Linked DNA regions of Sus scrofa. The protein of the gene in region 1 purifies or fractionates together with the protein of each later gene. This does not show direct contact. Links are inferred from orthologs where the notes say so. Each region holds a gene or a part of one and is shown on either strand. Other genes may lie near its edges.

Region 1 (3,824 bases):
GCTGTTCACACAGCCATGTTTTGTTTAAGGATTCCTTATCTAGTACATTTGTTGATTCATTAACATCGAACTCATGGCCAACAGCATTATCACTCACATTCACGCCTGAACAAAGCTTTTGTATCTGATGCATTTTCTCCTTAAGGCACTTAGGAACACCAGACAGCACTTCAGCCCTACACTCAGGAGGGGGCATTTTAAAAAGGAAATCACCAACCAAAAACACACAAAAGTGCAAAAACCATGGCACTAGAGACCTCGAAAAGGACACCCGCCTATAGTATGATTATGAACAGGAAAGCAGAGTGTCGATTTGTTTGACCTCACGTGGAAACGCACATATTGAGCAGCTCAAGGTTTTCACCACTGTGTGCCTGGGTGTGTCCACAGATGACTGCAAAAGTGCCACAAGTATTGATTCTGGAGTTAAATTTTAGTGAGTAGATGAATTCACAAATGTGAATCCTCAAGTAATGAGAATCGACTGTATTTCTCTTCTGCTGCTGTGAAAATGTCTGTGTCACAGAGGTTAGCACTGAACTCTGGCACGGCTCCACTTTTCAATGCCAAGCTTGTGACTGGTGACTCATTAGTAGCTCTTAACTTCTGGGTGTTTTCTCTCTAGAATCTGTCCTTCTTCCTGAACCCACCTTGTGCACGATGGTCTCAGCTTTCAGAGGTGCTGAGTTGGCAGTTTTCTTCTGTCACCAAAAGAGGTCTCAATGTGGACCAGCTGAACATGCTGGGAGAGAAACTTCTTGGTATGAACATATTAACTTTTTGTATATCTAACCATTGAAATTCATAAAAATATCCTGACTTGCCCCCCTTTCCCTCTTTGCTCTCTATTTTGTTCAAGGTAGAAGAGTGCTAAAAATCTGTTGGCTTTTCCAGCTGCGGTTTGTTATAGCTGCGGTTTGTTATAGCTGAGTGAAAATTATGCCTCACCTTGGAAGGAGATACAGACCTGATAAAAAATTTTAAAAATGAATTATTTCAGAGTTCCCTTTGTGGCTCGGTGGTAACAAACCCAAATGGTATCCATGAGGATGTGGGTTCGATTCCTGGCCTCGCTCAGTGGGTTAAGGATCTGGCGTTGCCATGAGTTGTATAGGTCACAGACGTGGCTTGGATCTGGTGTGGCTGTGGCATAGGCCAGTGGCTACAGCTCCAATTTGACCCCTAACCTGGGAACCTCCATATGCCATGGGTACAGCCCTAAAAAGCAAAAGAAACAATAAAAAAAATGAAATATTTCCCCATTATCTCATATTAACATTTCTGAGCAGAGTTCCTAAGGGAAAGATTTCTGAGTTATGTAAAATGTATTATTTGTGGCTAGAATATTCTTTGATAAGAAAGATGAAAGTCATGTTAACCTTGGGGAGAAAAAAGCCCCCAGCATGGTAAGAATAAGGTCGTGGGGCCGCCCACACAGCACACACCCAGGTGTCTTGTGTCAGGTGGGCAGAGACACGGCCCACATCAGGAGGATGCCTGTCACCAGCAGTGCCTGATGTGGTCCCGGCCATGCTAGAAAATTCCCTGTCGGTAGCTAATGTCATGGGCTTTTTAGTCTTCCACACTAAGCAAATCCAAGACCTCTTGGCCTCAAGGTCAGATCTTCAGTGCATGGGAGTATCTGAACTATTTCTTTAAAAATCCATGGGTACCTTTTCTCTGGATTTGCTTACTGTATAGCAGAGCTTCATGTACTGCAAATACCAGTAGGCTTTTCCTAACCAAATGGCTCTCAGCAGTGCCTTCTCTTGGCCATGTAGCTGTCACAGTGGGGACCTTGTGCTGTTTTAGTAAAAAGTGAGAAATCCCTTATTTGCACCAAATTAAGACATATCTTTTCCACCTGTGATGGCTTATCTGTGGTTCTCTGTGAGGAAATGGTGGGCTCACTGCCTCTTACAGCCTGGGCCACTTCACTTTGTAGTGATAACCACTAGGCTTCCTTGCCCTCTCTCATTTCGCTAACTTGGCATTTGATTTGCATCGATCTCCCTGAGCCCGTGTCCTATTTGGAGGAGGGCTGAGGGACATGCCTATCATCTAAAATAAGCTTCTAAAGTCAAGTGTCAGTTAAATAGATCTCCTAGGGGCCCATCTTTCATCTTAGTTCAAACTTAGGAAAAAGCTCTGTAGGGTCCCTGGAAGAGGAGCCTACAGTAGAGGGAGAGGGAAGCAGGCAGTGGGAAACGATGCTGCACAAAGAGGGACCAGGTGGAGGTTCTCTAGAAAGTGCAGGTAATTAATATTAGTGCCTCTGGGAGTTTCAGCCAGGTACATACAACCTTCCTTTGTTGAATGTTGGCTTTCTGAGAGCAAATACAAGAGCCATCAGTCCAGCCAAAGCTTCAGAATCGATTTCCATTTCCTGAAAATGCTTATTTGTATTTGTTTAGGTCCCACTGCTGGCCCTGACGGTCTTATTCCCTGGACGAGGTTCTGTAAGGTGGGTACTGTCTGGGCTTTAGACTTTGGAGCTCTTTACACTCTGTGTAAAGGAGTTCTCGCCGTGACGCTGACCGCCCTGTGCTTACTTTGGCATATTCCTCTCTCACCCATGGAACCCCAAGGGCAAGTTGTTTACTTTCCTTCAGCTCCAAAGGTTAGTCTCCAAGTGTGAGCCTGACAGGAAGCACCTGCCTGTGTGATAACATTCTTTCATATCCGAAGTGAGTCTTCTGTTTGCTCACAGTGGCCCTTGGCCTGGCGGCATTTCAGCCCCATCCATGAGGAATGCGCTCTGTGCCGACGTGGCTGGCCTGCAGGGCCAGATGAGCTTGCCCGAGTCTGCTCCAGCAGTGAGACCAGTTGAGGGGAATAATCAGACGCCACTAGGGTCACCAGACAGTGTTGACAAGCTTGTGCTACTGGATATTAGTAGTGCAAATGAAGGCAGCTCATGTTCCGTGATTCACCCTGGAGGTCATTCCTTGGCCGGGTGGCTGCTGTTTGGAGAGGGAAGCAGAGCCCAGCTCAGGAAGTGGAGAACTTGGTGTCTGAATGCTGATAAGAGGGAGGGCCTTCTCTGGAGGGGACAGCCCTAGCTTTGGCAGCTGGGCAGTGTTTGCAAACTAAAATCCCACGGTGGGAGGAGGCATGGTAAGTCACTGTATTGGATTTTGTGGTTCATAATGTGTGCATTTGTATACTTGCAGGAAAACATAAATGACAAAAATTTTCCTTTCTGGCTTTGGATTGAAAGTATCCTTGAACTCATTAAGAAACACCTGCTCTCTCTCTGGAATGATGGGTAAGGGCCATTGATAGATGTATTCTTGAAACATGTTGAGCACACGCTCCCTACTGCAAGGCTGGGATAGGCCTGACCCAGACAGACTTCATTACTTGACAGGACTATGTGCATCTCACACACACAGCTGTTTTACAGGCTGTCCCTTCAGGTATTCATGATAGTGGACCCTCATAAGATTAAATCTATACCTATCATAGTATATGTCTATTTGCATTTTCAAAGCTAAATTAGAAAGCCCTGAGTGCAATTCATGCATTCATTCATTCTACAAAAATTTCTTGAGCACCTAGTTTCTTGCCTCTCAGAAAAGAAGAAAAACCTTTTTTAACTTGGTAAGTTGTTTCTAATTTGTTCCCAGGGTCAGTTGTTATTTCAGCAGAGGCTTTAACCTGGTCATAAGTCTTGGATATGAACATGGATTGTCTGAGCCTTCCTCTTCGCTATGAGATGCATAAATTCAGACATTTTTGTAGTAGAAAATGAAATTAATCCAGCAGGTATTTATTGGTTGTCTGTAGTATTCTACTGGCACCATATTAATGAGCTTGTCCAG
Region 2 (3,824 bases), on another chromosome or scaffold:
AAGATATAAATTATGATATATTAAGCTACAAAGGCATTTAAAAAAAGTATAGACAATTAGAAATGAAGACATAACATATATTCAAGAAAAGTACCTCTGTGAAATAAATTTAAAATGCTCAATTTTTATTTAAAATATTATCAAACATAACCATAATGTATTTCTAGTTTGCATTTCTACTTTTCATAACAAAATTAGATATGTATGTAAACATCATCTATTCACACTGGTACTTGAAATTTACATTAGTGAAACTGAAAACAGGATACATTAATTATTAAGACCAGAAGAAAAATTTGAGAGCTGGGAATCAAATCAAATAAAAGCCACTAACATCTTTTTTTTCTTTCAAATTTCAGATGAGGTTGACTACAGCATGTTTTTGGCAGTGAAAAACTAGAAAAATATGCCTTTTAATAGAGGACTTATTTAGAACACAGAAAAGAACACAGTCTTTAATAAGAAATGAGCTAGAATATATATATATATATATAATTGTGTATATATGGCCTTCAATTAAAAATGAAGAATAAGACAAGGAAAACTGTCTATACTAGTAAAGCCAAAAAAAAAAAAAAAAAAAAAAAAAAAGAGCATGTCAGAGAATACTATGTCTAATACGATTCCTGCTTAAGAACAGGAAACATAACTTGCTCACATATGCATAGATATTAAACTGCTAATGAGGAAGGGACTTCAGCACTTTCATTTTTTATAATGAGCATGTATAGGTTTTAAAAACTTAGGACAGATTCTCAACAAGTGTTAATTTTTCTTATTAATGGCTATTTTAAAAAAGTGACATAAAATTCATGTTGTTTGAAAATGACTCCTATAATGTTAATTTATTCAGGTATTCTACTTGATATAATTTAAAACAAACATTTCCTAGTTCAAAGAGCTTCTGTAAATGTTCTCAAAAATTCAACACTCACCAACCCCCCAAGTTGAAATGTTTAATGATCTGTTAATGGGGTCAGAAAACTTTTTCTGTAAGGATCAGACAAATATTTTAGCTTTTGCAGATACATGATCTCTGCTGCATATTCTTCGTTTTCGTTTTAGTTTATAACTCTTTAGGAATATTAAAAAACAACAACAACAACTTAGCTCAGATCCACAGAAAAAAGGCTGCAGGATGCATCTGCTTTGCCAACCATAGTTTGCCAACCACTGATTTATAATAACAAACCAGCATCTGGAAGTCTGATATTTTAAATATTTTACACCAAAAGTATCAGAGATCACAATAGGGTAAGTTTTATTCTACCCTAAATAAAGGTAGAATTATATAAATTAAAATTTCAAGTTAATACATTGAATTATTAACAGCATATTCTAGACACAAATCAAATGGTAGAACACAGTACATGAAATTTCAAGTATTCATTAGTATTATATAAATATGATCATGTGTGCCCCTGCAAAGCACACACATCCATTTGAAAAAGTCAGCTGAAATTGAAATACTATATATTAGGGTTCAAATATCCTTTTATAATAATTAAAACCATTTACTCATTTAAAGAATCAAAAAGAGTAATTTGCTTTAGATGTCATCAACCCTTGAAAATTAAAAAGTGAATTCAGAGACTGATAGTAATTACTGGGTTTTAATTTATTTAATTTGTAAGGGTTATTGTAAAATATTAATCAACAATCTAAAATGTTAAGACTTTAAAAAGTTTTATATATATATATATATATATATATATTTTTTTTTTGTCTTTTTGCCTTTTCTAGTGCCGCTCCAGCGGCATATGGAGGTTCCCAAGCTAGGGGTTGAACTGGAGCTGCAGCCACTGTCCTACGCCAGAGCCACAGCAATGTGGGATCCGAGCCCACAACCTCATGGTTCCTAGTCAGATTCATTAACCACTGTGCCACGACGGGAACTCCAAGTTTTATATTCTTGAAAACTTTTTAACATTTACTGTGTCAGCAATCATCACTGCAGACCTGAATATACTTTTTTTCTGTCTAAAAGACAGCTTCTACATTCTTGATTTTGTCTAAAATTGAAAGATTCCCCCCAAAAAAGTGAAAAAAAGAAATAAAATTGAAAGATCCTTATTACCATCTGGATGCTACTACCAAATGTAATTGTCATTATGAATAATAAATTGGGTCAAACTCGAAAAAGAAAATATTTCCTCCAAAAGTAACCAAATAACCATTATAGAATAATCTTACCTAGACTGGTGGGTTTTATCAGTTCATCCAGTAAATCATAAAATGGTAATTTTTGAAGTTTTATATCCGGATGGACTGGGTGAAGAGCTGATGTAAGATGTGGGAGTTCCAGTTCATGTTTAGGTCCCAAAAGAGAAACAGGGAGTAACGGTGATGATGCAGGGTGACCATCATAAGTGAGCTGTGGAATGGTAGATGGAGACAAAGTTGCTGGCATAGGACTTGAATGTACGCTGGGGATGGACAAGTCCGCAGGCGTCATGATTTTCTGGGGGAACCTCCGCCTATAGAGTTCTTTAATTTTCATTTGTACAGCAGGACTGCAGCCAGCCTTTAGCAAATGCAGGGCTTTTGTGAGAAGTTCGTGTTTGCGTCCGTGCTTGTTTCTCCCGGCGTAGCCCAACAGTACTTGGAGTTCAGAAACTCTAAGGCTCATAACCATTTGCTTAGAGACAAAACAAAATGTAAAACATTAGTATTCCAATAATATAATTTACAACATTAAACAAAGTGTTATAATAAATACTTTCTCCTTATGGTTTGCTTAAAGGTCAGCTCATTTACAGTCAATTCTAGTTATTTCAAACTTAAAATATTTTAAAAATTTTTATTGGAACATAGTTGACTTAGAAAGTTATGTTAATTTCAGGCATATAGCAAAGTAAATCAGTTATACATACACATACATCCATTCTTCTTCAAATTCTTTTCTCAGATAGGTTACCATACAGTACAGAGTAAATTCTCCTGTGCTATATACAGTAGGTCCCCATTACCATCTATTCTATATATAGTAATTGCTTCTCTGCCTTTTGGCTAAGATCAAGTGTGTTCTATATACAGTAGTCTGAATATTCAAACTTAAAATTTAGCCATTTAATATACGTAACCAAAAAAATCTATTATTTTTTTCTTTCTAGGGCTGCACCTGTGGCATATGGAAGTTCACAGACTAGGAAGGCTGCAGAGCTGCAAATCAGAGCTGCAGCCGCTGGCCTACACCACAACAAAGATAGATCCAAGCAGCATCTGCAACCTAAACCACAGCTCAGGGCAATGCCAGATCCTTATCCCTCTGAGCAAAGGCCAGAAACTGGGCCCACATCTTCAATGGATACTAGTCGGATTCATTACTGCTGAGCCAAAGAACAGGAACTCCAGCTAAAGAAATTTATAATAAATATTCAAAAATTCACCGACTTCTACCTAGTGTTATATAAGATGTAAAAGTATACACCACGTAGAACCACATCTCACCTCATTCCACTGTTACAATGAAATTCTCAGGTATTTATCAAGCACTTACTAAGTCTCCAGGACAGTGCTGAGTGTATTCCGGATGGCAAAAAGTAATGAGCCCTCAAGAACATTTATTTTCTTGGGGAAAAATTAAATAAGTATATGTGAATTACATTAACAGTCTACTTCAAACATCAGATGTAGGCAGGATACAAATAACATCAGATATTACATCCAACACTAACTTCAGAATTTATAAGGTTTAACCTATACTTTTTTTGACCCATTATATGCCAAATATATTTGATATTTTCATATGGGTTGTCATTAAATCTTTACAACTCCACAGGTATTATCCTTCCTGCTTTATATATGAAGAAACTAGTTAAGAA

Evidence for each region.
Region 2: the proteins of STAT1 (region 1) and PIAS1 purify together in Homo sapiens (affinity purification with western blotting; 5 studies listed by BioGRID). This does not show direct contact. The link is inferred for Sus scrofa from reciprocal best matches to the Homo sapiens genes STAT1 and PIAS1.

What each region holds. Positions count from the first base shown.
Region 1 is NC_010457.5:95,611,745-95,615,568, reverse strand, and holds part of STAT1 (signal transducer and activator of transcription 1), read left to right. Parts: intron 1-625; coding exon 626-761; intron 762-2,414; coding exon 2,415-2,464; intron 2,465-3,173; coding exon 3,174-3,268; intron 3,269-3,824. UniProt on the Homo sapiens protein: Signal transducer and transcription activator that mediates cellular responses to interferons (IFNs), cytokine KITLG/SCF and other cytokines and other growth factors.
Region 2 is NC_010443.5:165,994,877-165,998,700, reverse strand, and holds part of PIAS1 (E3 SUMO-protein ligase PIAS1), read right to left. Parts: intron 2,639-3,824; coding exon 2,194-2,638; intron 1-2,193. UniProt on the Homo sapiens protein: Functions as an E3-type small ubiquitin-like modifier (SUMO) ligase, stabilizing the interaction between UBE2I and the substrate, and as a SUMO-tethering factor. Catalyzes sumoylation of various proteins, such as CEBPB, MRE11, MTA1, PTK2 and PML.